Schizosaccharomyces pombe: one gene and its partners. The protein of the gene in region 2 purifies or fractionates together with the protein of the main gene of each other region. This does not show direct contact. Each region holds a gene or a part of one and is shown on either strand. Other genes may lie near its edges.

Evidence for each region.
Region 1: the proteins of rix1 (region 2) and ytm1 purify together in Schizosaccharomyces pombe (affinity purification with western blotting, with the first as the bait; one study listed by BioGRID). This does not show direct contact.
Region 3: the proteins of rix1 (region 2) and mdn1 purify together in Schizosaccharomyces pombe (affinity purification with mass spectrometry, with the first as the bait; one study listed by BioGRID). This does not show direct contact.

What each region holds. Positions count from the first base shown.
Region 1 is NC_003424.3:5,003,413-5,014,083, reverse strand, and holds ytm1 (ribosome biogenesis protein Ytm1), read left to right. Parts: upstream 1-5,205; 5' UTR 5,206-5,226; coding exon 5,227-5,377; exon of another isoform or gene 5,378-5,485; intron 5,486-5,658; exon of another isoform or gene 5,659-5,739; coding exon 5,740-6,911; 3' UTR 6,912-7,068; downstream 7,069-10,671. Other genes in the region: nucleoporin, WD repeat Nup155, read right to left, coding at 1-2,007, 2,064-2,168, 2,220-2,352; pxr1 (PINX1 family ribosome biogenesis protein), read right to left, coding at 3,423-4,277; serine/threonine protein kinase Ppk16, read right to left, coding at 7,113-8,963, 9,132-9,181, 9,249-9,342, 9,390-9,413; kinetochore-associated protein Alp7, read left to right, coding at 9,889-10,671. UniProt on the Schizosaccharomyces pombe protein: Component of the NOP7 complex, which is required for maturation of the 25S and 5.8S ribosomal RNAs and formation of the 60S ribosome.
Region 2 is NC_003421.2:429,958-440,628, reverse strand, and holds rix1 (ribosome biogenesis protein Rix1), read left to right. Parts: upstream 1-2,109; 5' UTR 2,110-2,205; coding exon 2,206-4,692; 3' UTR 4,693-4,825; downstream 4,826-10,671. Other genes in the region: rib2 (bifunctional CMP deaminase family methyltransferase/riboflavin-specific deaminase), read left to right, coding at 1-575; hdd1 (metal-dependent HD domain-containing phosphohydrolase), read left to right, coding at 969-1,565; gamma tubulin complex GCP6 subunit Alp16, read left to right, coding at 5,955-8,234; SPOM_SPCC306.11 (uncharacterized protein), read right to left, coding at 8,990-9,841.
Region 3 is NC_003421.2:1,894,945-1,905,615, reverse strand, and holds the start of mdn1 (midasin), read right to left. Parts: upstream 5,135-10,671; 5' UTR 5,113-5,134; coding exon 1-5,112. Other genes in the region: SPOM_SPCC737.07C (DNA polymerase alpha-associated DNA helicase A), read left to right, coding at 5,327-5,368, 5,416-5,588, 5,647-5,883, 5,935-7,465; glutamate-cysteine ligase regulatory subunit Gcs2, read left to right, coding at 8,188-8,292, 8,401-8,545, 8,688-9,270, 9,312-9,342; SPOM_SPCC737.05 (peroxin Pex28/29), read right to left, coding at 9,757-10,551. UniProt on the Schizosaccharomyces pombe protein: Nuclear chaperone required for maturation and nuclear export of pre-60S ribosome subunits.

The DNA of each region.
Region 1 (10,671 bases), on a different chromosome or scaffold from region 2:
CATGAAAATCGGATACACCGGTATCGTTTAAGAATAACAAAAACGATATCCCCTCAACAATTTGTTGGAGGACCAAGAGCAATGCAGACAAAGCTCTATGTTCAGCTTGTACAGCAATTTCATCAGCAACATTGGATGAGCCGATGAGGGTATTTGGGCTATTAAGGCCTTCAATAAAACTTTTGTTATTTTCAAGGAACGTAGATAAATATAACAAGCCAGATTGTATTTTTAAAATTTCAGTAGCGTTAAATGCGGGCGCGTAATGGATACGTTTATTTTGCATTTTTTTAGCTATAATGACATGATTTTTCCAAACATTTCTAATAATACGCGAAATGGAGGACGCCAAACCATCATGACAACCAGACAAACGAACGAATTCTAAAGAAGAAGAATCATACTGGTTGTTATAGCGAGATTGATCAATAAAAGCTTTACCGCCAAACTCAATATAATATTTCTTTACTATGTCCAAAAGATCCGCTTGTGCAAGTTTAGTAGTGGAGCCAGAGAAGTTTGCTGCAGCATGACTAAAATCCCCCTGATCAAGACATCCACTTACAATACCCAAACAAGTTGCACAACCTTCAGCGCGACCAACACTCTCAAAAAACAGTTGAACTTGGCCATCGATTCCGGACGATAGGGAAGGTCCCATACGAATAGCAGAAGCGAGGACATCGATCGGACGACGATGAACTACCACGTAAACCCCTGTATTCGTAAGTATGGCAAAAGTAGGAGGAGGTGTGTTAAATTGAGAAACCAACTCATTGCGTTCTCGAGAATTTTGAATGCATTTAATATCTTGTACAAAACCCTTAATAGGAACGTACATGGAAGACTCTATGAGAGACGGTTGCGTACCACTCTGCCAAGCATTGGCAATTCTACCAACTTCAGGAGCAGTACAACAGACGACGTCGCCCTCATTCGTATTGGAGGAGCTTATGGCGAAAAACAAATCGGATGTATAAATATTACTCAGAGAAGAACATTTCATAGGAGTAGTTTTTACAGCACTTGACCTTTCAGGTTGTTGTTGAGATGTAGATTGATTTTGCAGGAAGAAAGGGTTAGCAGGATAATTGCGGGAAGAGGCATAATTCTCCACTTGCATAGGAGGAGGAAAACGAACGAAAGTAAGTTGTAAAGTACTAGGAGGTGTGGACGACAAAGTCGAATTAGACGGTGCATAGTGAGAAATGGGGCCCCGGCCACCTCTCATGTAAAACCGACATCCTGTAGAGGTAATTGCGACACAGTATATTTGCTGTGATTCATATGCTGGAATAGGAACTATGGAAACTATTTGAGTAGTCCGAGGATCCAATAAGGGAGAGGTTGCATTTAGCATTTGAGCTTGAGAGATCATAGAGCTGAAAGAATAAAAGACACAACGATTTACGCCGTTTTTCGTAAGTTCATAACAAGAAACAGAAGAGGTCTCTCGCAAAACATAAAGCAAGCTACGGGAGTCATCAACAGCAATCTGCTTGATGCCATCACCATGAGTACCAAAAGAAAAGAAAGAAGGAATAAAATTATCAAAAACAGAACCGGTAATATTAATTTTGCTGCATCTACGAGAAAACCAGCCTTCTTCGAGTTGGTAAGAAAATTCATACAAATTGGGATCTTTGTTTCCGGAAAAAAAAATACGTCCATCCTCCGAAGAAACGATACAATTAACATTAATCCCTTGAACAGATATTTGGATACCAGTTGAGAAGAAGGATAATTCACCAGTTTTCTCATCGATTGTAACACCTAATAAGAGCATTTCTTGTGAAGTTGCTATTACGAGTAAATGCTGGATTTCCGAGACGAAAACATTGGCCTTTGGTCTCACTAACTTTACATTGACAATGGTATGAGATAAATCTTCGTAAGCTTGAAAGTTTTGACCCGAAAGATAATCCCATAAGAACAAACGGTTGTCCACAGTTATCCAAGCACGTTGGATTTCAGCAAAAAGCCCCATTTGAGTAAAACATTCCGTACCTAAACCGATGATAAGTTAGAAAAGTTACCAAGGCGCATAAAGTTCGTTTACTTACGATTGTATTGTTCAAATATACGGTCAGGAATATTTACAACAGAACGAAGGTAAAACGGCTTCCAACCACTCAGAACTTGTGATATGTATTCTGGAGCGTGTACTTCTAAAAAAAAATAATTAGCCTTCAGAATTGATCAAACCTGCTTCAACATACGACCAATAATGTCTCCTAACTCTGGCAATTTTAAATCACGCTCCGTTGCAGCTTCAATCGCAGCATAGCCACGTGATAGAAGTTCATAAATACCATTTTCAGTCGATGAAAATGATGGATCATTGATGTCCATTTTCCCAAGCTCCAAATGAAGGACAGCTGGAAATGTTGGCTGCTGGTGCGTTTCGACCAGGCAAGGTATTCGTTGGTACAAACACGTATGCCAGAAGTTAGTTGCTTGAAGTTTTCATCTAGCAAGTTTTAGAAACATAAAACAATAGGAAAAATACTAAAAGACACATTTAAAAATACGATGTTCCCACTTCACTCAGTTATTCTTTTTGAGTAGCACTATAAATTCTCTGAAGCGCCGTAGCAGTTTGATATTAACCATATACTTCAACAATGAGTTTATAAGAACAACGCAATAATATTGCGGTTGAAATTGTAATTGTTAATCATGTGTAAGTGCAATACATAATTTAAGAAAAAAGACAGTTGCGAAGATGATTTCTTGATAGGGACAACAGATTTAATTATGTTGAAAAAAAATCGGGAAAAGATAGTAGATATATATTGCTGAGCATTACTGTGATTTTTCTGTATTCACATACTATTCTATTTTTACTGAACTATACTAACTTTCTCTAGCAGGAGATCTACTTTTAAATTGGTGGTTGTACTAGCTCGAGTAGTTTTCTTTTTAGACTTCCTTTTGTATGGAAACGTGCAATTTAATGCATGTGAATATAACCAGAGTTTTAGTGATGGAGGAATAGCCTTCCGATCTCCATAGCTTAATAGAAATGTTATTTTTAACTAATTCTTTGTATGGCATATGAGATACTTCGATTGGTATGTGTGTAAATGATTATCGTAACTTTAATGAATGTTTAGTAATGTAAAACTTTCAGGATGAAGTCGTCAATATTTTTACCTAAAATCCCGTATTACACAAACCAGAGTCATAAAATACGAACGCGATTACTCTCAATAGCTGATTACAATACGACATAAGTAGCTTTTCGAAATTACAAGCCCGAATCCAGCAATTTCTTCCAAAATCAACTAAATATTACCTTCTATTAAGACATAGATTAAAAAACCGACAAACCCTTCCTCTTAAAGTATTGTATACCCATAACTTCTAAGACTCGTTTATTATATTCCGCAAGTTAGAAAAATAGCAAAAGAAGTCACTTCCTAACCTTTAATACCTAAAATCTCCCTTAAAGCAACTGGGTCGCTTACTGCTGCTCGCTTTTGTGCCAAAAATTTTCTTCTGGTATGGAAATGAATGCTAGCGGGTCGGTTGCCTTCTTTGACCTTCTCGACAGAGGAAGTGGACTCTGGTTTATCCTTTAATTTTATTTTCTTTTTCTTTTTCTCTTCTTTGTCGCTTGAGCCTGATTTTCTCTTTTTTGAAGAACTTTCCTTATCCTTTTTCTTGTGCTCTTTTTTCTTCTTCTTCGTTATTTTTTCCAACTTTTTAGGATCAAGAGCCGAACCAGTAGAGGTCTTTTTCTTACTTTTCTTCTTAGAAGAGTGCTTCTTTCTTTTTTCACGCTTAGCTTCATCGGATGAAGACGCATCTTCACATACACGATCCTCATCCTCCTCTGCTTTTTGCATCCATTCAGAAAATTCACTAGTAAACGTCCCACCCAAAACAAATCGTCTGGATAGCTCAAGTGATTTTAAACCCTTCTCATTCGCACTCTGTCTCTCGTATGTTAGTTGCTGCACCTTTGCTTTCTCAGCATAGACACCATACGCAGACTCATCGCCGTTAAGTCGACCAAAAATAGCGTTGAATTCACCTAAACCGCTCCATTCAAGATCGTTAGTTGCTTTGGCTCCAATTCCCAGTGTATCATCTTTTAGGCTGACCTTGATGTTATGAATGCGACCATGTTGCTTTTCACCCAAGCCATTACCATTCACCCAACCGTAGGAGGATAAAAGCTTAAATCCCAATCTATTTGTATCTTTTGCCCATTTAGAATTCCGAGGATCCACACCAATCTGTTGTTTCTTTTTTACACCAGCCAAACCCATGATGTCCTGTTAATCTTCAATAAAATTTTTTTTTTATCGACGATCAATATGTGAGAGGACAAAAAAGAATGAGAATAAATTATAAGAAGTAATCAATTGTAAGAAATAATTAAAATTGCGAACAGCGCAAAGTAATATACATAAAAATATGTAGCAGCCTGAGTCCTAAAATCCCACCAAATCCTAGAACCGATGAATTCTTTCCCAAAATAAAACCTTTTTCGAGGATAGAATCAATTGAGTCTCCTCTTCTTTTATAAAAATATAAACACACGATAAATCAACGATCTAAACAAAGTCTTCTCGCTAATTGAGAAACTCTCCAAAATTTCTCGAGTATTGCACTCAAATTGGTGAAAAAGGATAAATTGATAGATCTTTATTAAGTTTTAAAAAAGAAAAGTACTGGTTCTTGGAATTTCTTGAAAAGTGGTGGGCTCAAGAAGGGAATATATGCAGTTGGTAAACCGGCTATGTGTTAAAAGCGCTATAGATGCTTTCAAAGGCATAATTGAAATCTTCTTTCAAATAACGTGAAAGCATTCCAAAAAATTACAATGTTATAATGAGCTGTAAATAATACCGGTCAAATCATCATTTAAGTCGTTTTAAAAGAAGTATTTCAAAAGACGTTAAATCTTACAATTCGAGCATACTCTGGAAAAAAATAAGCTTTAAAAAAGTTTATCCTTTTACTTTTAAAGCATACTTTAAATCTTCTAATATTATTTTTGTTATTCTTAGATTTTGTTCAACTGTTACTTTTCTACTCAAAAAAAAAAGCTGAATTAGGACCGCTATCGATGAATACGAATTGGGTTGATTAAACTTGAAAATTCTTAAAAAACAGTCTCGTAACATCTTGATCAATTCAGCCAAAAGTCATTATCCTCATTTTTTTGGTACTGGAAATTTTGATCTTTTCGACACTCCTTCCACCAACAACAGAATGGATGCCCAAAGCGCTCCTTCAGGCCAAGTTCAAGTCCGTTTTACTACTAGAAATGAGGATTTAGCTGTTGGTGACACGCCGATTTTTGTTCCTACATCTTTAAAGCGGTACGGCTTATCTCAAATTGTAAATCATCTTCTAAAAACAGGTATGTTTTCAGTTAACACATACTGGGTCAAAGCAGGAGAAAAGTCGCATAATTCAACCAACTTGAAGAAAATTTGAAGCAATAGAATAGCTGGTCTCATGCAAGGCCCAATTACTATAAAACTGTGTAGAAGCTGAAATTTGTTGGCGAGAATCAAATGGGGGCTTCTCGAATCTAAGAGTTACTCTAGTGTTCTTTTTCACGCCTTTCTTAAAATTTTGTAAAATTCTTGAAGATGCATTACTAAAAGCCCTTTTTTTATTTTTTTGTCTCTTTTACCTTTCATCCTCGTTTTGCTTCATTGCTATACAATTTTGCGATTTTTTAGTTAATTTAATTTATTTCCTTACTAACTTTACTAGAAAAGCCAACACCCTTTGATTTTTTGGTTCAGGGTCAGCTGTTAAAAACTACTCTCGATGAGTACATAGTTCAAAACGGATTGTCTACGGAGTCGATTCTTGATATTGAATATATCCAATCTACATTACCACCTGCATATTTAGCTTCTTTCTCTCATGACGATTGGATTTCTGGTATTCAACTAACCTCAGATACCATTCTTACTTCTTCATACGATGGGATAGCTCGTGTTTGGGATAAAAGTGGTGAAATAAAATTTCAATCAACTGGATGTGGATCATCTTTAAAAAGTGCATCCTGGCATATACCTAATCAAAGTTTTCTCACTGCTTCACTTGATCAAAAAATTTTTCATTGGGTGATCGAAGAGCCAGAATCAATGTTGGATGCTGAAAAGAAAAGCTCCGGTATCCTTCAAACTCTTTTCGTAGGGCACAAGGATATAGTTGAGCGCGTACGATCCTTAGAATCTTCAAGCGTTTTTATTTCTGCTTCTGCGGATAATACTGTCGGAATTTGGGATTTTGAAAGGTCTCCTGAGACTACCCTCGAGTCCTTTTCCTCGTCTATATCTAAAAAGAGACGTCGCAAAAATGCAGAATTCACACCTCAAGCTGGGGCTCGCTCTCCGCTGATCCTTTGTGAGGGGCATACTGGACCGGTGATGGATATCGTCTTTTCTGATGATCCAAGTGTTGCATATTCCGTAGGCCAAGATCACACAATTAAGACTTGGGATCTCATTACTGGGCAAAATGTTGATTCCAAGATAACCAAAGCTCCTCTTTTATGCGTGGAAAAACTTACTGACCTACACTTAGTCATTTGTGGTTCCTCTGCGCGACACATTGTTGTTCACGACCCTCGAGCGGGAAGCGACAAAATTGTGAGTCATACTTTATCCGGCCACAAGAATTTAGTTTCCGGATTATCGGCAAGCCCAGAAAATCCCTATATGTTTGCATCCGTCTCTCACGATAACACTTGTCGTGTTTGGGATGTCCGTGCTACATCCGGCAGTATTTACACAATTTCTAGAGCAGAAAAAACAGGCTCTCAGTGGGATAAACTTTTCGCTGTTGATTGGAATAAATCCATTGGTATTGTTACGGGAGGTACTGACAAACAACTTCAAATCAATCAATCCTCATCCTTTGGAAAAAGCGAATGAAAAAAGATGTAGCATAAAAAAAATTGACAGATTATGATTTAGTGTGGTACAAGCGGGATAAGTTAAGGAACAAGGTCATTACTACTAGAGATTAAAAGTTTGATTAAATTATTTAAGAGAACACTTTATTAAAGCAAAATAAGTTAATAATTCAAATTATACACACCACGTAGCTTAGTAATCGTGTAATAAACTTAAGCTTCAGAGCAAGTCTGTGAAATGTTTTGAAGAGTCTGAAAAACTGGTTTCTTCCGGCTCCTCTTCCTCTTTGACTGAGCTTTGATTAAACATCAGAGAGGAAGATGATTGCGGGTTTTTTCTACCAGAACCAACTGTAAAAATTGCAGTAGCATTTATACGAGTGTTAAATGGCTCTCCGGAAGGAAAATGGAAACTTTTGTGCAATCGTTCAAAAGGAGAATGAAAAGGTGTTTGCCTTTGAACGGTCGAACTGGAAGGTTTAGATGAAATAATAGAAATTAAAGAATTTGAAGATGCAGAAGAGACGTTTGAATAGGATCTAGTACGGGATGAATTCCTCGAAGAAGCAACGGAAGAACGCCCAGACAAGCTGCGTATGGGAGTTCGTGATCGTCGAGTCGGCTGGGGAGATATGACAGTATTTTGCAGAGGAGAAGGTGGAATATCAATATTAATTGAGAGGTTCGAACTTTTAGAAGGGCTATTTTGAGAGTTCGAGGGGAAGGTAAAGTCTTTATTACCGTCGAGGTTTACCGTTTTTAAAAGAGGAGGAGTGAATGGTGTGTTTTGCTCACCTGTATCAACGTGCGTTGTTTGAGGAAGATTTGAGTGTCTTCTTCCAAAACTGTTAATCGAAGGAAACACGGTAAGGTTCTCAACTGAATTGTCTAAAGACTCAGATAAATTATCGGAATCAAAATTTTCTTGAGTTAAATAGTTTTCAGCCGAAGGACTAGGTGTTCTTGGTCTAATTGCTGATGAGCTTAACGTATCAGCAGTATGCTTTTGTTTAGGATCGAATAACCAACTACGAAATGTAGAAAGCAAAGAATTACTTGAATCTGACGATGTATGCCGACTTTTTAAAGAATCCTGATTGTTGGACATAACAGAAACTTGAGCGGTTTTTAATGATGGAGTTGCTGGAGCTATGTGTACAGCCGAAGATGAACCTTTATGTAAATGAAACAAACCTTTCTTTTTTTTGTTTTCCTTACGCATTTCTTTTTCTAGTAATAAAAGCCACCATCCATAGAACATGTCACAGCGCTGTTGTGAGATGCTGGCATTAAGTTGATCCATGTCAACACCAACAAATTCAAGCCTTTTACGAACTTTTTCCTCTGCTTTCGAGGAAGGCCTTGGGTCTCGAATAGAAGATGAATGATATCCATTTTCCTTGAAATAGGGGTGAGAGATGATTTGATCGATAGAGGGTCGAAGTCGGTAATCCTTGCAAAGGAGGGATTTCAACAAGCTTGAAGAGTTTTTGGAGAGTGTTTCAGGATATTGAGGACATTCATTGATAATTTTTTGCTCAGTTAAAGATACATCGTCCTCGTCGAACGGGAGCCTTCCTATTAAGAGAGCGTACATAATTATACCCAGAGACCATATATCAACGCATTCACCAATATATTTATGGCCCTGTACTAGCTCCGGAGCACAATAAGCAACTGTACCACAACGTGTGTTCATAAATGTTCTACGGGAACAATCAGAATCTCTAGAAAACCCAAAGTCTCCAAGCTTAACATTGTAGGCTTTATCTAGAAAAATATTTTCGAGTTTAAGGTCACGGTGAACACAGCCTTGTCTATGTAAATACTGAATAGCACAGCATAGCTGCCACATGATACGGCAAGTGGTCTTTTCATCCAGCCTTTTTTCTCTCGCTACCCAGTCATACAATTCACCATTTGGACAATACTCCATGGCAAGATAAATTCGGTCTTCGGTGCATACTACTTCATAAAGCCTCGTGATGTTTGGATGAAGAAGACGCCGATGATGATGAATTTCTCGAGCAAGGATAATCGCTTGTTTCCTGCAAGATGATTTCAGGACAACCTTTAATAAAAATGTTAGCAAGGTACAATCAATTTATTGATGAATAAAACGTTTATCATTCTCATAATGTAATCAACCGACTTTGGAACGGTCAATATTCGCAATTTACGAGCCGTTTATTCTTCTTTTTATAACTTAGAGACATAGTAATCTTTGAATAACCCATACCTTTGTATTTGTCAGTAAATGAGCTGCCAAATAAACTTTTCCAAAGCTGCCTACAACCCATGCTTGTTAGATAGCCGTCCAGTATTGAGCGTTCACAATAACACAAAAGTATCGTACCTTCACCGACAACACTCTCAATGCGATATGTACCGACATCAGAGATACGAGGATTGCAAATTGTTGCAATTAGGTCATTGTATGAGGCCGATATCTGCCATTCATTAGATAATCACGATTTCCCTCTTTTCATATACATACGTTTGCCTTTTCATTTTTCTTCATACTAAAATTTGGCACACATAATATCAAAGGTTGACTTGCAAATTGTTTAGTGTTTACAGTAGGATACTTTGGTGTTATTACAAAGGCTTCGGAGAACAAGCTACCGAAAATTCACCGAGAGCTCGGTGAACTCTTCCCACTCTCTCCTTACTCAGTGTAAACCAGTATGTATGTGCCTTTTATTTACACCACCATTGTACGCCTAGTGTTGAATCAAGACGAAGAATTGAGGGCAATAAGGGGTTATTTATTGGGCATTGTATGACTCAAGTTTGTTATTGAACCATTGTTCTACGTAGGCGGACATCTGACCAGTTTTCAAAAAGTAAAAATAAAAGTTAGCTACTGATCGTTAACTTTGAAACGATAATACCAGCTGTAAAATATTTGAAAAAGGATTTTCTTGTGTATTTATATTTCATATATCTGTTAGTTCTTTATATCGTTTGACGATTTTAAAAAGTCATAACCGAAAATGAGTGATATCGTTTCGAGCTCTACAGATTACAGTAGGAGGTCTCCCTCCTCATCTAGTATTGGGACAAATGAAACTGATCATACGGGTTTTCATGAAAAAAGGCAAGGTGCCTCTTCAGAATCATTGATTCCTCCAGCTCAACGAAGTTCAGAGGAATCCATGCCTGCCCCTAAATTATTCCCTAAGTTAACTTCTAAACCCAATCCACAGCTGAATTTAAAGGATACTCTTAATAAGCGAGTAAGCGATCGACTACAAGCCTTAGAGTTGAATAAATCTTTTGATTTTTCAGGAACCCCTAGACCGATGCATCCCATATCCCATCCTTTGTCACAGCATAAAACGCCAGAATTTAAGCATAGAAAAAGAAATGTAGAATCTATTTTGACGCCGAAGAATCCTTCTTTATTTTCATCGTCCAATGCGGCCTCCCAACGAGGCTCTTTAAATACCGCTCCATCTAATTTTGCATACAGTCATTCATCATCTTTGCAAACATCAGCTAGTTCTAGGCCCCCAGTGCTTTCAAACGGAAGCTTCCCACGTCAAACTAATACGGCGCCGTTGAACCCACCAGTGCATTTGAAAGACAACATTCGCAACTCTGCTACACCATCAACTTCACAGGCCGATATACCTACTCAATACCCAATTAATTCCACTCAAAAGCAGCAAGCGAAATACGAAGCTGAAATAGAGGGCTACAAAGCCAAACTTGCTGGCACTTATCATGAAATTTCCGTACTCCAAAATACAATCGTCAATGTTTCGGGACAATTG
Region 2 (10,671 bases):
TAGAAAGAGTACGACCTTACTTTGAGGTTGATCTTATTAAGATGGAGGAGATAAACAAAACTTCGGTAGCTTCCTCAACAAATCTTCCACCTGCGAATATGTCCTTATTTATAATGAAACCTTACAACCATGAAGAATATATGCTAAAGGCCCTCAACGAAGCAAAGAAATGTGAGCCTACTGATTCAGCATTTTGCGTTGGCGCTGTTATTGTACAGAATGGAAAAATCGTGTCAACGGGCTATTCTCGTGAACGACCAGGAAACACACATGCAGAGGAATGTGCTATAGAAAAATTTATGCTTAAAAATCCTACTGATTCTTTAGAGGGCGCTATAATGTACAGTACAATGGAACCTTGCAGCAAGCGGTTATCAAAAAAAGTGTCTTGTACAGATCTTATTGTTAAGCAAAAGTTTTCTACGGTAGTTTTGGGATCTCTGGAGCCTGATATATTCGTAAAATGTGAAGGTGTGGATTTACTCAAGAAAGCTGGAATAGTTGTTATCGAGAAACTGACTTTTCAAGACGATTGCTTACGTGAAGCAGTTCGTGGTCACCCCCCAAAGCACTAATTTTATTAATTTTTTTTATTCTTTAAACATTTAGACGACGTCGCTGGTATATGACTATCAACCCTAAATTATCGTTTTTCTGAGAGACTATTTAGGCCATGCATAGTTCATCATTTTTTTTGATCATTAAATTAAAATAACACGAAATTCCCCACATAATGATTTCTTTTTTCTATGATTTCTAAATCGAAAATAATTTCCTTCTTTGCTTTCTTCACTTACCCTGAGCAAATACCACCTGCGTTGGCCTAAGTGGCTGATTTGTATAAATCTGCTGTTAAAAACTTTTTGGATTTCTTTTTATTTTTGTGTTTTTATAATATTTAATTTGGATTTATCCGTTTTATACTCTGTTTTGTTTTTTTCAGAAAAAAATTTAACTCCCCTTTCAAAATGAATGCAGCCAAATCTTTATCTATTGTTCCATTCTTAGATTGTTTGTCAAGGCTTAAGACTACTCCACGTACTGGCTGGCTATATCATGGCATCGAAAAGCCGGAATCCATTGCCGACCATATGTATAGAATGGGGATTTTGACTATGTTATGTAATGACCCAAGCATCAACAAGGAACGTTGTCTAAAGATTGCCGTAGTGCATGATATGGCTGAGTCAATTGTTGGTGATATAACACCTCACGAGAATGTTTCGAAAGAGGAAAAGCATCGTATGGAGTCGGAAGCGATGGTTTCTATCACCCAGCAACTGATCCCCTTAAACCTTTCCTTACAAGCTGAGGAGATTAAAGAGCTATTTTTAGAGTATGAGTCTGCTTCCACTCCCGAAGCTAAGTTTGTCAAGGACATTGATAAATTTGAAATGATTGCTCAAATGTTTGAGTACGAAAGGAAATTTAATGGTGAGAAAGATTTGTCACAGTTCACTTGGGCCGGTAAATTAATTCAACATCCTCTTGTTAAAGGTTGGCTCAATGATGTGTTACAGGAGCGTGAGCAATTTTGGGCTTCGGTCCGTCAAAAGAAGCTTTAACTGATAAGAAAAGCGATACTTTCCCTGTATTTAAGTGTGCAGTTGAGAGAAACAGTTAAGAAGAAATATTTCTTAGGAATTCGCTCTAGTATCTTCAAGGCCCATTATTCAATATACCAATAGTCTCTCTTTTTTTTTATACATAGATACATTTAATAGAAGTTCAACATTAGAGCTTAGTTTAATGGTGCTATCTTCTGATATGTTTTTACTCTTCAAATGCTTTACTTTTCTAGGTTCTATCATTTACGTTCTCCCAACTTAGCTAAATATAACTTAAATACATCTACGATTAAGTCTTGTTTCTTTATAATTATTCGTTCAATAAAAAATGAATTCTTTACAGCACATTTCAAGAAGTTCATAAAATCACTTTGCTATCTGAATTTTTTTGTAGACTTAAGCTTTGAGGTAATTTACATTCCTTGGTCATTATAAAATACTAATATTGAGTTAAACATTCTCAAGTTTAAAAGGATTTTACTTCTCAAAAATTTTTAACCTTTTCTCCCTAGCAAGACTTTCCTTAACGCACGAGTAGTTCAGAACCTACACCACAAGCTCGAGATTTAGCAAGTAATTTCTTTAAGAAAACGGAAATATTGTTTTTTTGTTACTCCGTTGAATAAAGAAATCTTAGATGAGTGATTTATTAGAACGTGGCTCTCTTCCTCTTGTGAAATCTTGGTTGGCAATAACTTTTGCGAATGAAGAAGACTTACCATTTCAGGTGCCTCAAATAGCGGACATACTGGTACATCAAAAATGTATCGAAAGATTAGGAACGAGTGAAAATGCTCTTTCCGTTCGCAAGAATTGGTGCACGAGTTTAACAAAAATGTTACAATCAAAAGACTTTCGTATTCGCTGGTCAGCTATTATTCTCATTCACTGCACTATTTCTCAAAGTTGGGATTGCTTAGTAGAGCATGGAGCTACTTGGGCAAAACTTTTAATTGCTTTGTTAAACCGACCAGAAACTCCTAAAACATTGGAGATTGCCATGATAACCGTATCAAAAATGTTTAGCTCTACTGTAGGAAGACCAGCAGTTACAAGAGAATTGGTGACTCCTAATTTACCCACATTTGTGAATAATTGCTTACGAATCGCCGAATCTGGGAAGTGTCTTTGTACTGTTTGTTCTTGTTTGTATCAAGGGATCATCTCGCATTCACCTACCTTTCGTCCATTTGTTTCCTCAATAAGGAATATTTGCATTAAAATTTTAGATGGGGAAGAAGTAGTCCCTTCTTCATTACAGAAGAAAGCAGCTGTTCTTTATGCTTCGTTGTATCGATGTGTGGGGAAAGGAAATTTTGAAGACTATTGGAAGCAAAGTATTATTTCAATCCTAAAGGAATATCATCTTACTTTGGATTTTTTGTTTCAATTTGTTATAGAACCGCAAACATACCCAACTCGTGAAGAGAATTTGATGTTTCCAAAACTCAAAGGCCACTACGAAGAAACTTATCAGAAAGCTTTACACAGATGCAGAACTCTAAACTTGATTTTAATTTCTTTTTTAAGTACAAAGACGGATAAAATCGTTTTGCTTCCCATAAATGCTTTGAAGGATTTAATTCAACGTGTTTATACTGTACAACTTTCATTGCCTGTTAAAAGCGTAGAAAGTTCAGTTCAAGCTTTGCTATTCATGGTCCTTCCTCATTTGCATACGCTAGTTAATGAGTTAACCTTAAAGCTTTTTGTGGTAATTCCTCCAGCTATCATTCTTTCATTTGATTCTTACCTGGATTCATTAAATGATTGTTTACTTTCTGAGTCAACACATACTGGGGTTTTATGCTCTTCTTTAAAGTTACTTTCAAAGTTTTTGGATGTGACACATATGAATGTCCCTCTTTCAAAATACGAAAATATTGTAACGCTGGTATTAGAATATCTTGCTAATTCCTCTAAAGGTTTAGCATCCAAATCCATAGAGTTCTCTAAAAATCGTGGGCATTCTCAAAAAAAGCGAAAAACACTTTCTGAAAGTCAAGCAGGAGATACACTTATGAGTTCGGAAGAGTCTCATCAGCTTTATGATTCAGATGTCATGGATTGTTGTTTTTCTTTTTTAGCATCCATTTTGACTCATTCAATAGCATTACCACGTTTATTACGGACCAAAATAGATCTTTGCACCTTGCAGATATCTTTGTCTAACCCTACCTCAACAGTTTTGATATCTATGCATAATTTACTCCTTGCGTCAATTTTATCACCGGGAGATTCACAAGCAGTGATAGTACCTCATGCAATACGTATAATTTCTGGTCCATTAGGGCTTGTACATCCAGATCCTCTGGTCGCTTCACACGCAAGGTCATCGATGCAAACAATAGAATCGCTGATTCATCCTAGGTTCCCACCTTTGCAAAAACATCTTTCACCAAGCGAATTTGAAAATACGTTTGAGTCAAGATTTGAGCCTGTTTCTCTTGAAAACCAATCGCATATTTCTCCACCCCAGGTGGATTCTCAATCAGAGTATAAAGAAAGTAGTATTTTGGCTCCATCAAATCCTCCCTTTGAAACAGAGTCGATTACAGATTCCACTGAAATTGAAGGGATCAAAGAGTCTTTTGCATCTACAGATACAGGCTTACAGAATAATTCTACAGCTACCTCCGAGAACAAAAGAAGCGAATCAGAGCTGACTATGTCTAATGTTCTTTCTAATGAGGGTGACAGAAATGAAGAAGGTAGTGAAATCAACTCTTCTCAACCTTCAACTATTAATCACGGGACTGATCACATTAACATTGTTTCGGAAAACAAGGAAACAACTGTTTCACTGTTGCATGGAGATGTTGAGGTTGAGGAGACTACAAATGTTGCATTAAACAATTCTCAGGACACTGAAACCAAATTTACTGCTATAGACGTTGACTTTGTTGACCGACCTACTAGTGTAGTTTCAAGCCAAATTGAAAACATAAATGGTGATGAAAATGGAAACACAACTTCTTCAGTCGTCGAAACTTTTGAAAAAACAACGGATGTCGTAGATGAGAAAACGACTTCTATTAATGTGGAAGGAAACGGAGAAGATGATGAGGAGGAAGACAATATCTCTTTGCCAAGTATAAACTTGGAATCTGATAGTGATAGTTAGTCTTAATTTATAAAAAGGATTTGGGGGTACTGAATGTTTATTTTAAATTCTATTTCTAGATAAGTAGGTTGTCATTTAATCCAAGCTGATTTTTATAAAGTCCTGTATGTATTATCGTCATGGCAAAAAAGGTACATCAAGCTGATATTTGGAGGTTAAAATCAATTGATTTTGACCTCCAGAATACATTGCTTATGTGTTCTCCTTTTTAATTAGCTAAATTTTCCAGTAATACAAAGTACAAAGTCTTGTGTTATCCGCAAAAATTTTTAATTAATCATTTTTATACCATTGGTGTCACAAAAATCCCGATTATTTTAGAGTTAGACTGTCGTTTATGTTTTTTGAGAAAGAATTAAAACAACTTATCTAGTCTAGTGTTTAAAAGAATTTTATACTGTTTCATTAAGAATAATGAAGATATCCCTTTCCAAAGGCAAAAGAAAAGTCGATAACTATATAATGCAAGCTTCTAAACAAACTTGAATTAGTGATTGCAACATTTCTTTTGCCAACAATATTTAAATCCTTCATTGCTTGACACATGGTTTTATGAGAAAAATTAAGAAAGAACATTAAGTACTTCAAATAAATTTGTTGAAGGATCCAAAATTCTCCAAATAGACTTTTTTTATATGAAGATACCATTCATTCAGCTTTGACTCGCATGCGAGCTCTCTGGACAATAAACGATCAAGCCAGCGAGGTATACTGTAACCATAATATCACGAATAGTACAATAAACTTTTTTTTAAAAAAATCTAAATGTACTAACCAGAGAAGCATAAAAGAGCTCTTATAGTTCCATAAAGGATACGTTTTATCCACATAGCACTCTCTTAAAATTAAATGCTGGAATGTCGTTTTGGATAGATTATGCAATTGTGCAATAGTAATTCCTTAACAACTGATAGTTTTTGTTCAATTTATCATTCTGTTTTATTCATCCTGGATACCTTTAACTCCATGTCAGTATTTTCTGTTGTACGGCCACGAGAGTACGGATTTTTGAATTGGTTTCAATGTTAGGATCAATTACTAACGTTCCATTTCTTAGTTTAAGAGACGCATACTTCATTCACATCTTCTAATCCTGACTGTTCTAGATAAGAAGTCATCTTAATTCGCTACGTTAACAACATTATACATTAACTACACACATATTGCCAAATTTTAGTAATTCATAACAAGAGTGTTTTCCAGTAAAGGAGTTGGATCTTGAAATGTACCACTAAAATAGATGATTTTGAAATAAAAATGGAATGGATGGAATTATGAAAAACGACTTGTTATGGTTCGGCAACCACGTTTTCGACCTTACGCCAAATTCATTTGATTCTGATTTTGTCGAGCAGCTTTCGAAATTTGAGGGAAAAGAAGGATTGAAGAGGAAGTTATTTGACTCCTCGGAATACTTTCAAAACTTTTCATTTCAAGTAAACGATGATCTGTTGGGAAAAGATGTCATTCTCGATATTTCAAATCAACAACTAACACCCGCTGTGCCTGGGTGTGAGACATCATCCAATTCCAAACTCATAAGCGCATCTAAGGAAATTACTTCAGAAAGAAAAAGAGCTAAATCCTCAGTGTCCCCCTCTTATCTTACAGATTCATCACCCAGCGATTTATCTGTCGAAAACAAAGTTCTGCTAACATGCCCTAGCTGGGATGGAGAAAATTTTAAAAATTTAGAAGCTAGATCTCCATTCATATCTGAAGCGCCTTCTCGGGTATATGATTATTTTCTTCATAATCAGGATTGGAGTCCGAAACCATTATTTTCTGCACTGCAAGTTTACCCTTTAGCAACTATTTTCAATTGCGTGGCTGGTTTACCACAAGGATTTGAAAGCACAGTGTTTCCATGGAACAAAACCTCAAGCACATTTGAACTCGATCCGACCATCTCCGTTTCAGGAATGTCCGATGAATGTTTTGCTAGTATCGTCCAGAAATTTTCTGCAATTGGGGGTTTAATAAAAAAAGCTTTAAATGAATTCTCTTTATACAAGACCAACATTTCTTTTTATTTATCAAATTTCATTGTGAATGGTGTCTTGCAGTATCGAAAGGAGTTTCAGCGTTGGCTTCGTCTTTATGAGTTCCGTAGATTCGGTCTGATTGGTTTAAGTAACTTTGTTAATTCTTTTTCTTCATTCTTTGAGTTAATTTCACACTTCTTAATAAAATCGGCTCAAAACCTAAAAGGAGATTCCTTGTTAGATTTTCTTTTTGATTATGCGCGTTCATGTCAGAATACCATATCTTACCCCATTGCCCTACAGTGCTTGATATATTGCTCAAATCCCTACTTCAAAAGGCTTGAGCTTGCTTTAAAAGTTTCTTGTGCGTATGGTCACATTGATTCTTCATTGTTCTTATCACTTCCCCGTTTTTTTCCTTCTGAACTTTGTGTAAGCATTGAACAGTGTATTCAATTTTTGTCATTAATAAGGGAACAAAAAGAAATATTTAATAAAAACAACAAAGAATTTATTAACCCTTTGAACATTCGGTTCGCATATTCTTTCAACGACATAAATCAAGCTTGTGTAATAGAGGAGCGCTGCAACTTTTCTTCGCTTTCTTTTGGTAATTTGGAACAAACTTCCGTCAATAATGACAGTGAAGAATTTGAAACGCTGCTTGCTAAAATGAACATGACTCCAGATTTCAACGATAATTTATTACAACTTAAATTTACAGATGATGTGCGCAACGTCTGTCCGCTTAACTTGAATGTTTGCTGCTGTATTGCTGAGCCAATACAATCTTTTATTCTCAGTTTCTTACGTTCGACATATAAAGTTTTAAAAAACGATTTTCAGGTGTTTGATCTTTTAAATTTTTTTCATTCCACTTTTCTTTTTCAAAATTATGAATTCTCTGATAATGTCATTTCTCTGTTAAAATCAAGAAGGCTTGATAAATCTGACCGTAATGAGTTGGCTGAGGACTTGAACTCTGATGACAGATATAATTTTATTTCTCGATTGAAAAAATTCATTTTTATGGAAAAAGAAAAAAATGGGTTGAGCAGGTCTTTATCTAAGAGTATAACTTTTACATTGGATTCTGCGAGCGTTAGTGAATTTGAGGATGTGTACCCTGATTTACAATTCCAATGCCAAGTAATAGGTGCTTTACGGATATTATTTACTGATAACTCTTTAAATTATTATTCGAAAACTTTTTCTTACGTTTTACATCTCTTTCAAGCTCAATCAGACTTTGAATCATCTGTCGAATTGAAAGATCGTTCTATAGTAACAAAAACAACTATTATGTCATGGTCTAAGTATCAAGGCACGAAAGAATCTCTTTTTCAGTTTCTTTCAATATACATTCCAGAGTGTATGTTGCCTTTTACGAAATTACTGAAATCCATATATTCTCCTGACTGTCCTACGAACATACAAAATTCTGCAATTAAAAATGCGGCTTCAGTTCACGAGCAGTGCACTAAAGCAATTTATCAAAAGGTCAAAGAGTTGTTTGATACCATGAAACTCTGGGAGTCATCCATCAAAGTGTCATAACAAAAAACCAGATCCGGATGACGGATTTTTACGAGTGTAAACATGCTAATCTCACCTTTAAGTTTGAAGAATATACGATTTTACAGCAGAAAAAAATTTATAAGCACAACACTTACAGAAAATTCCTTGCATAAAATGATAAAGAATGTAAAGAAGTATTTGGATAAATTCATGAGTAAAGTATTTACTAGAGATATATCTTAATCTAAGTTTAAACAACCTGTGCCAAACAAAAGGAAATTAATTTAACAAAGAAAGGGATGAAGAATTAAAAGGAATCAAAATAGAAATGAACAGTCAAGCTTATGATTGATTGTTTGAAGATCAAACATATCAAGGTAAAGTGCCATGATCACAGGAAAATACGCAATGTAGTTTAGTAAGTTATTTTGGTGCAAAAATATATGCGCTTTAATGGTGGAACATACCAGTATGTCCCACTTAATTTGCTCGTTCAAAAAATGCATGCAAAAAAAAAAAAAAAGATACAAATCTGTAAATACCTCACGCAAATATAAGAGTGCAAATAAAGACATGTTGAGAAAAGAGTAGAGGCAAAAGCCAAAAGATAAAAATCTTACTGGACGCCTATCACTTTGGTGAAGTTGAGGGTAAACGGACAAGGAATGCATGAAAAAGGAAGGAGGTAAGTGATAATTTAATGTTAGCAAGGAAGACATGCAAGTAAGGAACAAGTGCCCATGTTCCTTATTTTAGATTTTTTTTAAAGAAAAAGGGAATCTATGCGAAATCCTTTACCACAAGAAGGCATTGTCACGGTAGTTAAAGACACTGGTAATGTTTGGATTTATTTTGGAAGTAGTGTTAACAATAACATGGTCATCGGCAACAGGGATACGACTGTCGTTGGTATATACACAAATACCTTGACCTTTATAGCCAATATTACGGCAAGTAGCACCACCAAATGGAGTGCGCAAAGCAGAGTTACAATTAACGGGGTATTGGGTGCCATTGAAGCAAGTGTTAACCAAGTAAGGGTAATCCGTATTACACAAAGTCATGTTGCAAGACCAATCCATTGAGGAATCACGAGTGAATAAGATGGGTTGATCAACAATGTTGGTATAGCTTAAAGATATACCGGAAGAACGCTTGCTGTGAGTGCTCGTACTTCCCGAACTAACGGAAGTGGTCACGTTGATAACATTTGCATTGTCAAAGTTGGAAGAATTAGCGCTAGTGGAGTAGTTGGAGGATCCGATCTGACAAAGACCGCGAGTTAGTCCGTAGGAAGAATTGGTTTCAACACATGCGGAACCACGACCCTTGGGATAACCAAGCACAGTAGGGCAGTTCAAGAGAACAGTGCTATGATTAGCGCAAATGGCAATTACATCGGGTGAAACACAAAGGTTGGAGCCACTTACATGGCAATATGTACCTTCCGAAATATTATAATAGGAGGTAGAAGCTATAGCAGAACTCAAGTCAGGAAATGTGTCAGTTGCACGCTTATATAAAGAAATCTCACGCCTTTTACAAGCAGGAGCACCTGGTATGCCACAAAGCTTGATGGACGAGACATAGGAGAACGAGCAAAGGAAAAAGATGGCCGAAATCGCAAAAGAGGCAAATGCAAACATTTTTTTTATAAAATTAAAATGTGAGAGTACGTAAAGTAATTTTTGGAGACGATAATTTTGAGAACGGAAAATGCAATTGAAAATAGGGGGAAATAATGGAACGAAAGGGATATCAGATGAATAGAAAATGTAAGGACGATAAGAATATATGGAATAAAAATGTAGAGACGATGAAGTCTTTTTGGATCGATTAAAAAGGAGGAAAGATGAACAATGATAATAAACTCAACTACTTCAAGGAGCTTTGTCAAACTGAAGCACCCAAACACTGGGACGACGTTTTACAAAGTAACTTAAGAGAAGGAAGACAAACGATGTAAACAAAAGATGTTTTCAAGTGGAAAACAGCCAAAATGCAAAGACCAGATTTTATAGCAAACCGCAATGGGGAAGCAGATCGATGTTTATATATACGAGTTTAGCCTCGTTCGTTAGACGATCCTGACATCATTTGTTTACAGTGGCAAGCTGGAGAAGCAGCCAATCAGCGTTGAGAATGTTCATCGCAACCAGCCTGCGTCACCGTGTAAATAAACAAACTCGGAGGGCAACCAGCCTAATGTCAACAAAACAATTCAGATGGCTGGCAATATGTTCAAAGGTGGCCGGATTGAACTGAATATAGCAAATGTAGAAAAGAAACATCATGAAAACATGATAAAGTATCTCAATATTATTATTATTCAGTCTCACTAGTTAGTTGGGCATTATGGACAAAGAGCTTTGATCATCGCAACTCACTCCAATTAACAAGTGTAAGTGAATAGTCGCGATACAAGTGCATCGATTCAAATCCATTCATTCAGCTGCTCATCAAAACAAAAGGCGGG
Region 3 (10,671 bases), 1.5 Mb from region 2:
GTAAACAACCGAAAATCTATTGATGAACGACCTCGGTAAGCCTTTCCTACCGCCACCCTGATGCTGTGGATTTTGGGCAGCGAAAACTCGAAAATTCGGATGAGCTTTAAACACCTTGTCTAATTCCGGTATATAAGCTTCATTACGATGATCAAGACAAGCATTTAAGCCTTCCAAGACTGACTGTGAAGCTAAATTTAATTCATCAAGCAACACCCAATGACCATTACGCATCGCTGCCAAAAAAGGAGCATCACGCCAAGCAAACTGCCCTCCTTCACCACCTTCCACAGGAACGTCTGAGCCGAAAAGATCCATCAAATCTGTTTGATCAGACAAATTTATACGCACCAGTTGATGTCCTGTTTCACGAGCAAGTGCTGTAATAAGACTGGTTTTGCCAACTCCAGGACTACCTTCCAGTAAAATAGGTTTCAGAACCTGCAGAGCCCTCAAAACCTTGGAAGCGTTCATTAAAGTAGTATCTGTATGTAAACTATAAGTCGAATCCGATTCAACAGAATCTCCTAAAGGTATTCCAAAATCACCTATAAAAAATGATGAGTCGGAGAATTTAATTGATATATCGGCAGATTTGGATGCCATAATGTTAGATCCTGCTAACTCATTTAATTTAGCGAAACATCTTTGACGTTCAGCGTGTAAGGATGCCAAATTGTTACTTAAAGAAAAGGTCGTGAAAGAACCAAGCGCATCTATAAAAACCATTGAAACAGCATTAAACAATACCAGATTTAAATCCAAAATTTCGCATGCATTTATAAATTCTACTGCGGATAAGACATCACGAATAGAAATCACATCAGTATACAAGTATTCATTCGCATGCCATTTCGCATATTCAACCAAAGGGCGAGCTAACTCGATTTTGTTGTTATGAAGTTTGCCTTCGACAATTTTAAGAATGTCCTCTGTATCGACCATCGGTGGAACCCAAATTTCGGTAAACCGATTCCGCAACGCTGGCGAAAGTTCCTTCTTACCGTAATCACCACCAGGATTCATAGTAGCAAAAAATGCAAATCCATCTTTGGCAGTAAGAGATACGGCAGCATTACTGTGTTCCACTAAAGTAAGAGTACGAGATAATTCAAGAACACTATTCAATCTCTCCAAAACGGAATCATCGGCGAGACTAATCTCATCAAGTAAAAAAAAGTCGCCTTGCTTCATCGCGGTAACCAAAGCACCGTCATGCCATTCAAACAGAGAGCGGTACTTGATAATCTGGCGTTCGATCAGATTAGATAAATTGTCGTTCTTTTCAGAAGAAGAAAGTTTTTCAAATTTCTCAATGAGATCGTCAATAGAATCCAGACTTTCTTGTACGTTAAATTTTTCACATAATTGTGAATGAAGACTGTAATTTACAGCGGAACGATTCCTTACAGGCCTTTGAGCACCAATTATGTCTCCATTTTCCGTATCTTGATGAGCATTAATAATATGCAACTCTTTGTGCAAACACTCAGCTAGAATCTGACAAACAGTTGTTTTACCACAACCGGTATCTCCAACTAACAAAACGGGTTCTTTTGCTAGTAAACAGCGCCATACGAGGCAAAATAAACGAATCATTGGACGTGTCCAAACAACCTTAGATAAAGGACCCTCTTTTAAACTCATATCCTGGAAGATCTCCATAGAGTCAAGGTTATAAATACCATCAGTGTCAATTTTTACCTTCATAACTTTTTCGATTACTTCTTGCACGGCCAGTTTGTCCTTTTGGTCTCTCGCGCGTTCAGCCAAAAGCATATAACCATTTTCTGCTAACTGTTGGTAGCCGACAGCTTCGCGAAACGCCCATCTAAATAAATCTCTCAAAGTAGCAAAAGAATTTTTTTGCTCAAAAATTCGGGTGGTTTGTCTTCGAAGAGATAGCTCGCGGAATACTTGTACAATCTTTGCAGCATATGAAGGGGCTATTTTACACCGCTTATGAAGAATCGTCTCCAGTTCATTTTCAGGAATGTCATCAAAATGAATTTCTAAGAATCTATTGCGGAATGCTCGAGAAAGATGTTTACGACCAGCATAAACACCAGGAGGATTCTGTGTTGCAAAAAGCATAAACTCAGGATGTGGTTTAACCAAAACTTGTGTTTCGGGTATAAAAAGCTCACGATTATCATCTAAAAGTCTATTCAAAGCTTCTAAAACGTCGGTAGGGGCCAGATTGAGTTCGTCTAATACAATCCAATATCCATTTCGTAAAGCTTCCACCAAAACGCCTTCCCTAAAGCTCAATGACCCGTTATCATCAGTAACGTAGGTGCCAATATATTCCTGTAGATCAGTGTGTTCGTGATTGTTTATTCGAACAAACTTATGTCCAGTCTTTTTAGCTACATATTCAATCATACTTGTTTTGCCACTAGAAGTTGGTCCTTGGATTAAAATTGGAAACATCCTAGTAGAACAAGCTCTAGCTATGTTTAATAAATTTTTTTGCACAAATGGTGTTATGATATAATGCTCTTGTTCCTCTACGGGGAAAGACCCACGTCTCAACCAGTAATGGCAAAAAGCAATATAACTAGAATGATCGGGTACTTTAGGGATTTGCTTGAGTATTGCATTCTGTTGATCCCTATTTAGCTCACCTAGTGTGAAACGAACCACATGGTTGTACAATAAGCTTTCACTAGTATGGTCGAGTAACGTCAAAAAAGACATACAAAATCCCTCATAAAGGGATCTTCTCAATCCATAAATTGGAGCAATTTCCGTTACATACGACAAAGTTCGGCTCAATGTTCGAACGGTATAGTGTGGTCTTTGACCAGCTCCATCAACAAGAGAACCATCGAGAGAAAGACTCTTTGCAACTTGATATAGTTCAGCGACCTCTCGGATAACATGTTCATTACCAATACAAAGAGAACCGATATACTTTTGAATGATTGATAATAAATCATCTAAATTTTGATCGGGAGAATGAACATATATTTCAGTAAATCTTGATCGAAAAGATGGCTCAAGTTCACGTTTTCCAACATCTGTAGAAGGATTCATACAGCCAAATAACCTAAAATTTTTATGAGGAGTAATTGGAGTTATATCGCCACGTTCACTGAGAAGTATACCCGATTCATATGAGCTTAAAAGTTGGCCAATAGGTTCTAAAGTCTCTAATGATGCCAAATTAATCTCGTCTAGTAATACCCAGTGTCCGGAACGAACCGCCTTCACCAAAGCACCCTCAACGAAAGAAAACATGAAGCCATTGGAACCTCCCGTAAGAACTTTTTCAAAATCTTCAACCTCTTTCTCAAATTTAGCCCACTGATTTCGAAGCTCAACCTGATTAGATAAACGTTTTTGTCTTTTTTGAGGATTAGGAAGAGGTTGTTGACCATCAAGAACCGTTTTAGACAATTTGCAAGCTTCTTTCCAAATTTTTAGGCAAGTTTTCCAACGAAACCGTCGTGCTGACGTTGATGCCATGGATATAAACTTAGCATTTTTCTTGGAACTAAAAGTTTGCTCAAATATATCTATAAACCTCTCATGCAATGGAAGACCAAGTGTGGAAGCGTTGATAGGTTTATAACCGCCAAGCATATCAGAAGATTCCGTCTGTTGAGACATATTAATTACAGTAACTTTCTGACCTAACAAGCCAGCTAAAAGTTGGATAGTAGTGGTCTTACCAGTACCAGTCTCACCAACTAGAAGCAATGGTTCGTTTGTTTGAACACCTGCAGCCAGCTGTTCCAATAAGCCAAGAGATGAAGATGTGAAAGCATATGAATTAGTGGAACAAGAACGAATAGTAGACAATTTCTTAAGTGAACATCTACCTATGTTTATGTTATGTTCCAAATTTTGAAATACAGGAATAGAATATCGTAATTGTAAAGCCTTTTCAGGTGGTATATTTAACTCTATAGCGACGTTACGCACCACAAGATCAAAACCGTCTCTAGAAGGAATAAACGCACCAAACATATCGATAGCCTCTTTAAAAACTGCATCTTGGAGTTCTTGAGATATGACTACATGGTCGGAAGGGATCATAAATTTGTGATATAGAAACGCAACCCTTTTAATAAATTTGTAGAAATCACGCAAACACAATCGACGATATATTTTTGAGGTGGCAAGGAACGATCTTTGTGAAAAAAGATCAAATATATCTTTGTAAACAGAGTACAAAGTAGGACAAATGATTGATAAAACAGGATATAGAGTAGATACTACCTCAACACATTCATCTGGTTGATAAGTCAAATCAAGTATCTGCCATAATCGTTGCCCAAGAATCTTTGTTTTCATAGATGATGTAGCAAACATTTGAAAGGATCCTTTAGCATATATTGTTTCACCACGTGAGGGAATTACGAGTTGCCTTTTTTCGAGAAGAGGAAGCAAGACGCTAAGCACTTCAGAAGGTGCGTGCTCGATATTTGTAAACAAGATCCATTTTCCAGTAATTACAGCTTGTGTCAACACACCAGGTTGCCACTCGAATTCTCCAGGTTTTGGAGAGGTATATGTTCCAATCAACATTTTGGGGTCTGTGGAATCGCTAAGATGAATACGAATGATCTGTTGTCCCAATTTCGCAGCAATTTGTGTGATTAAAAACTTTTTACCAATTCCTTCTGGACCAGCCAGAAGAATTGGTCTTTTTTGTACCAAGTAAGGAGTTATGCGATTTAAATTTTCCTGTGTACTTTTAGTTAAAACTAGGGAACAAGGAAGCGGCACGTGAGAGTTAAAAAAGACATTTCCCCCTAGTTCAACAAGAGGTAAATTGGATAATCCAGCGTCAAATAGTAAATTCTTTAGATGTTCTGCTCTTTCAGAGACCGTCCAAGAAACAAAAAGACGATGAAGTTGGGATATTCTTTCATTTTCTAAAACAAAAACTTCACCGTAAGTCTTTGTTTCTCCATAATATTTGACTTTGCAGGTTTCACGAATTTCGTCCGATGCATACAAAAACCAAACGTCGTAGTCAATTTTTGACCAGGGTTGGTGCAAACGCAAACGTTGCAAAGTGTTGCTTGGAACGTAATTAATATGCTCCAAAATATCATATATCTGAGGGTATATTGCAACCCACTCAATCAACACATCCATCCCCAGTGTGTTGGTAGAGTTTAGGCTGAAAACTGCCGCCTTGAAAATTATTCACCAACACCACGAACATCTTCTAGTGGCCAGAGAATAATGAAATGAATTTTGATATCCAAATTAAAAAAAAAAGCTAGCAATCAGTAATTAAATTAATAAAACCGTACTTTTGGGATTTATCATTTACGTTTGAGTAAGCGTTCACTCACACAGAACAAGCATGTCTAGTTCAAATGAACAAATTTGTTTGGACGAAGATTGGGTAAGTTTAATACTAATATTATAACTTTATTAATTAATAATGGTCAGATACAAAAATTTGGGGATAGGGAAATTGAATTTGTGGATGAAGCTCAAAAATCCGAAGTTGATGAGACAGAAAAGTCTATAAAACGCTTTCCGTTGTCCGTATTACAAAGAAAAGGATTAGCACTTATCAACCTTAGAATCGGAGTTGTAAAAACTGGATTTGGTGGTAAAACGTACATTTAAGCATTCGAAACGACATAATGACTCTTTTTTAACTCATTTAATTTGTAGAATCATTGATTTTGAAAAAGATCCAGCGTTCTCCAATGGTGAAGAATTACCAGCAAACTCTTTTTCACCTGGTGATGTTGTCAGTATTCGACAGGATTTTCAATCCTCCAAAAAAAAACGTCCCAACGAAACAGATATCTCAGTGGAGGGTGTGGTTACCCGAGTGCATGAAAGACATATATCTGTTGCTTTAAAGTCTGAAGAAGATATTCCTTCTTCCGTCACGCGTTTGTCAGTGTAAGTTTTAATCAATGTCTCCTTACAAAAAAATGACTGACAGTTGAAAAGCGTCAAATTGGTGAATCGCGTTACGTATGAAAGAATGAGACATACTATGTTGGAATTTAAAAGAAGTATCCCGGAGTATCGAAACTCACTTTTTTACACCTTGATTGGAAGGAAGAAGGCAGATGTTTCTATAGACCAAAAATTAATCGGTGACATTAAATATTTCAACAAAGAATTAAATGCAAGCCAAAAGAAAGCAGTTAAATTTTCCATTGCGGTCAAGGAATTATCACTAATTCATGGTCCACCAGGAACCGGTAAAACCCACACCTTAGTTGAAATCATACAGCAGTTGGTTTTAAGAAACAAGCGTATTTTGGTTTGCGGTGCTTCCAATTTGGCAGTTGACAACATAGTAGATCGCCTAAGCAGTTCTGGGATTCCCATGGTCCGCTTAGGGCATCCTGCTAGGCTCCTTCCATCGATTTTGGATCATTCTTTGGATGTTTTATCACGAACGGGTGATAATGGAGACGTAATCCGTGGAATAAGCGAAGACATAGATGTATGCTTAAGTAAGATTACAAAAACTAAAAATGGTAGAGAGCGTCGTGAAATTTACAAAAATATTCGGGAACTTCGCAAAGATTATCGAAAATACGAAGCTAAGACGGTAGCGAATATTGTTTCGGCAAGTAAGGTTGTGTTTTGTACTCTTCATGGTGCTGGATCGAGGCAGTTAAAAGGCCAAAGATTTGATGCAGTGATAATTGATGAAGCTTCACAAGCGTTGGAACCACAATGTTGGATTCCTCTTTTGGGAATGAATAAAGTGATCCTGGCTGGCGATCATATGCAACTTTCACCAAACGTACAAAGCAAAAGGCCTTATATATCTATGTTTGAACGATTGGTTAAATCTCAAGGAGATTTGGTTAAATGTTTTCTAAATATACAATATCGAATGCATGAACTTATTAGTAAATTCCCGTCTGATACATTTTACGATAGCAAATTAGTTCCCGCTGAAGAAGTAAAAAAACGCTTACTTATGGATTTAGAAAACGTCGAAGAAACTGAACTTACTGATTCACCAATTTACTTTTACGACACCCTGGGGAATTACCAAGAAGATGATCGATCAGAGGATATGCAAAATTTTTACCAAGACAGTAAGAGCAATCACTGGGAAGCTCAGATTGTTAGCTATCATATATCAGGACTACTAGAAGCTGGACTTGAAGCTAAGGACATAGCAGTTGTTACTCCCTATAACGCACAGGTAGCCCTTATACGACAGTTATTAAAGGAAAAGGGAATAGAGGTTGAAATGGGCAGCGTTGATAAAGTGCAGGGCCGCGAGAAAGAGGCAATTATATTTTCTCTAGTCAGAAGCAACGATGTTCGGGAAGTAGGGTTTTTGGCAGAAAAGAGAAGACTCAATGTAGCCATCACAAGGCCTAAAAGGCATCTTTGTGTAATTGGGGATAGCAACACTGTAAAGTGGGCTAGTGAATTCTTTCACCAATGGGTTGATTTTTTGGAGGAAAATGCCATTGTGATGGATATTGATGCAACCATGTTTGAGTAAACTTAAATCAGATCGCTTGAAGAAAGTTTTGTTTATTTAATAAAATTACTGGCTTACTAAAAAACGGAAATTTTCGCTTTGTTCATCTTTGTTTAATTAGCTACAAAGATTTAATAAATCAATTTTTCAGCAACTTTGCTTCTGCTCCACTAGCGACAAGAATTTCCTACTCGTAAAATTTACTAAAGATGATACCTAGTATATATTGATATATATGGGTATATATATAACATTTAAGACGATCATAGATTTATGTCTAAAAGAGCTTGGTGAAATCATTATTTTTACAGAATAATCAAACACTATATTGTTACACAATCCATACTAGCTCCGAAGGATCAATATTAATCAGTATAGAGATTTTATATTTGTTTCGTAGGGTTTGGAACTGCTGCAGATTCCTTTAATCGAGTATTCAGTAAATGGAGTTAATATTGTCGATGAAACGAGTACCGATAACAAGTGTTCGTGTAATTTCAGTTTTCTATTAATTATTTATGTCGTAATTTATTTTTAGTATTTCAATAAAACATTCATTAAACTGTTTCTCAGTTGACATAGTCGGTTGTTAGTATTATGAAATTAAATGCATGTATTTGTCATCAACCATCACAACATTCAATTAACTTGGTTTATTGCAAACGCTTAGATTTTTCCTTTGAAATACGTTTCTGGAAGACGTTTCGGTTTAAAAAGAATACTTCAACTTATTTGAAAGCAAAATGATTCAGAACGAGAAAAAACACTTGATTTTGTATACTGGAGATGTGACGAAAAACTTAAAGTCTGGCATTTGGAATGCTTCACGTATAAAATCAAATTTAGAAGTAAGCAAATGATGAATTGGACATTCAAACGAGTATCGTACTGCTTGGGTTTGGGCAGAAATATACTTGAATATTTGTAGGCATAAATGTATTCTAACATATTTCTAGTTGGTTAAAGCTCTAGAGAACGTTAAGCTCACGAAATTCACGGGTGATGGTGATGAAAATTTGAAGAAAAACATTAAAGTCTTGGTTCCAGTAAACGAAAAGCCTCAAAAACTAGATGGGAAACAAGAGGAGTATGAAATTATTGGTAAGTACCGCAATTTACCATTGATAAGGGAAGGGAATGAGTTGGAATACACGAGTTCTCTAAATGCTTTTCATTATAGAACACTCATCTCAATGCCCTAATCACTTGGAATGTTTTGTACGGGATCACTAACTTTGCGTAGTAAAGCTTTTCTTTTTGGACGGTGAGAACATAGACATAAAAAAGAGGGAAGAGACACTGTCTCAGGTGTTTTATAATTTACATATGCTTTTTGGCATTGATTTTGTTTCCACACTGGTGGTATCTTTTCCTCATATAACTTTCTTAAAGGAAAGTGGTAATAGCTCTTCTAATGAAATTTACGATTCAATTGACGAGATACCTCCGCAAGAGATTCAGTCCTGGGTTGACACTTGGAAACTATTAGAGGAAAAAGTAGGGGAAGGCAAGATTGGCACTTTAGGCGTTAGTGAATTTGGTGTCAATGAGTTGCAACGACTAATTTCTTCCGTGAATGTCGTTCCTGAATCCACCCAAATTAACATAGGCCAAAATTGTAAACTACCAAACGACCTATTGAATTTTGCTGATCGACATCATTTGAAGTTATTTTTTCATTCTGATCCTTCTGCTCTTTTAAGCGAAAGTGAAATTACTTCTGTTATACATAAAGCCTGCCCGGAAATTCCTAATCCCGCACGTGTGGATTGGGTTATTCGATATACTATTCTGACAAGGCATACTGCCGTTATTCATCAAAAGGGGTAAGAAAAAAATTGTCCTAGCTATAATGACTAATATTCAGGTATATTGTTCAAAGCACTTATACCGAGTAATCGCTTTTTATCTAATTAAAAAAGAACTTTTTGTTTGTTTTGGCTACCATATCCACGTTAATGTATTTTGTACCAACTACTGAGAATTAAGCAAGAATATCAAACGTGTTTGAAAGGTTCTAAAGATATCCGAACAATAATGTCCTCTACGCTTCGAATCTATAATAAGTGAATTATAGCTTTGGCACCAAAACAGTTAGACTTTTTTTTAGTAGTGGTAGCAGCACAGATCGAATACTAGCAAACAAGGGGGGGAAATAATATGATTTTGATCTTGTTCATAATGATTACATAAATTTTAATAAATAGTTAAACAACAGACAGTAAAACAGTTAGACCACACCTCTAACTAATTACGAAACATATAGTACACAATGGGTTAAAGTCCTACAACCAATGTTTGCTTTAAGGCCTTCACAAGGGCAAATTTGATCCGTGTGACGATTTTCTGTTCATCTTTGGAGGTTGGGGACTCCATAAGATAAATCTCCGAAATTCATTAGGAGGTACAAAAGTCCAGTCGCTTTGAGGAGCCCAAGAATAATTCTCTGGCGGTTCGACCAAATCCAGGGAGGTCACTGAATTCTCCGGATTGAATTTTGGAAATGAAGTGTAGCGAGTAGTTGTTTGCGAACCGGAAATGTCAACGTGCCTCCAAACTTGGGCGAGCTCATTTCGAATTTGAAGATATGGCACATGGTCTCGTTTAGCAGAATAAAACTGAATGAGATAGCTTCGTAATTTTGGGTGAAGAGAAATTAGACCAATCCAAATAGCAATTGGTAAATAACGGTCAATTGAAATGCGCAGGTATGCCAACAGGAATATGAGAACTAAAGAAACTAGCAGTCCAGATGAAATAGCAGAGGGAGTAATGTGGTGATAATAATTTTGTCGAAAATACAATAGTTGATCATAAGAAGAGCTGTAAGAAGCCATGAAATTTTGTAAATCTTTAAGATTTGTGGTAACGTCGTGGGTCATACTTATCGGCATCATTGTCAAAAATACCAAGAGCAAAATCGCCGAAAATGAAACTGGATGAAGATACAATAACGTGATCGTAAGTCCCAAGCACATAGATTTTACAGGATGCCTCCAAGTCACTGCTTCTACAAGTTCGTCTCGAATAATGAAGAAAATAGCAACTCTGGTTGCAAACCGAATTGAGTTTTGCGAAAGCAAAATCGGGTTCAGTTCATTTTGCATCCTTGAGTAAATTTAATAATCCCTCAAAAACGCTGTAGGAATTTTCTTTTAAAATCAAATATGCACTATGGATCAGAAAAGAAGAGAAATTAGGAAATTTGACACTGAGTTCTCAAAGTT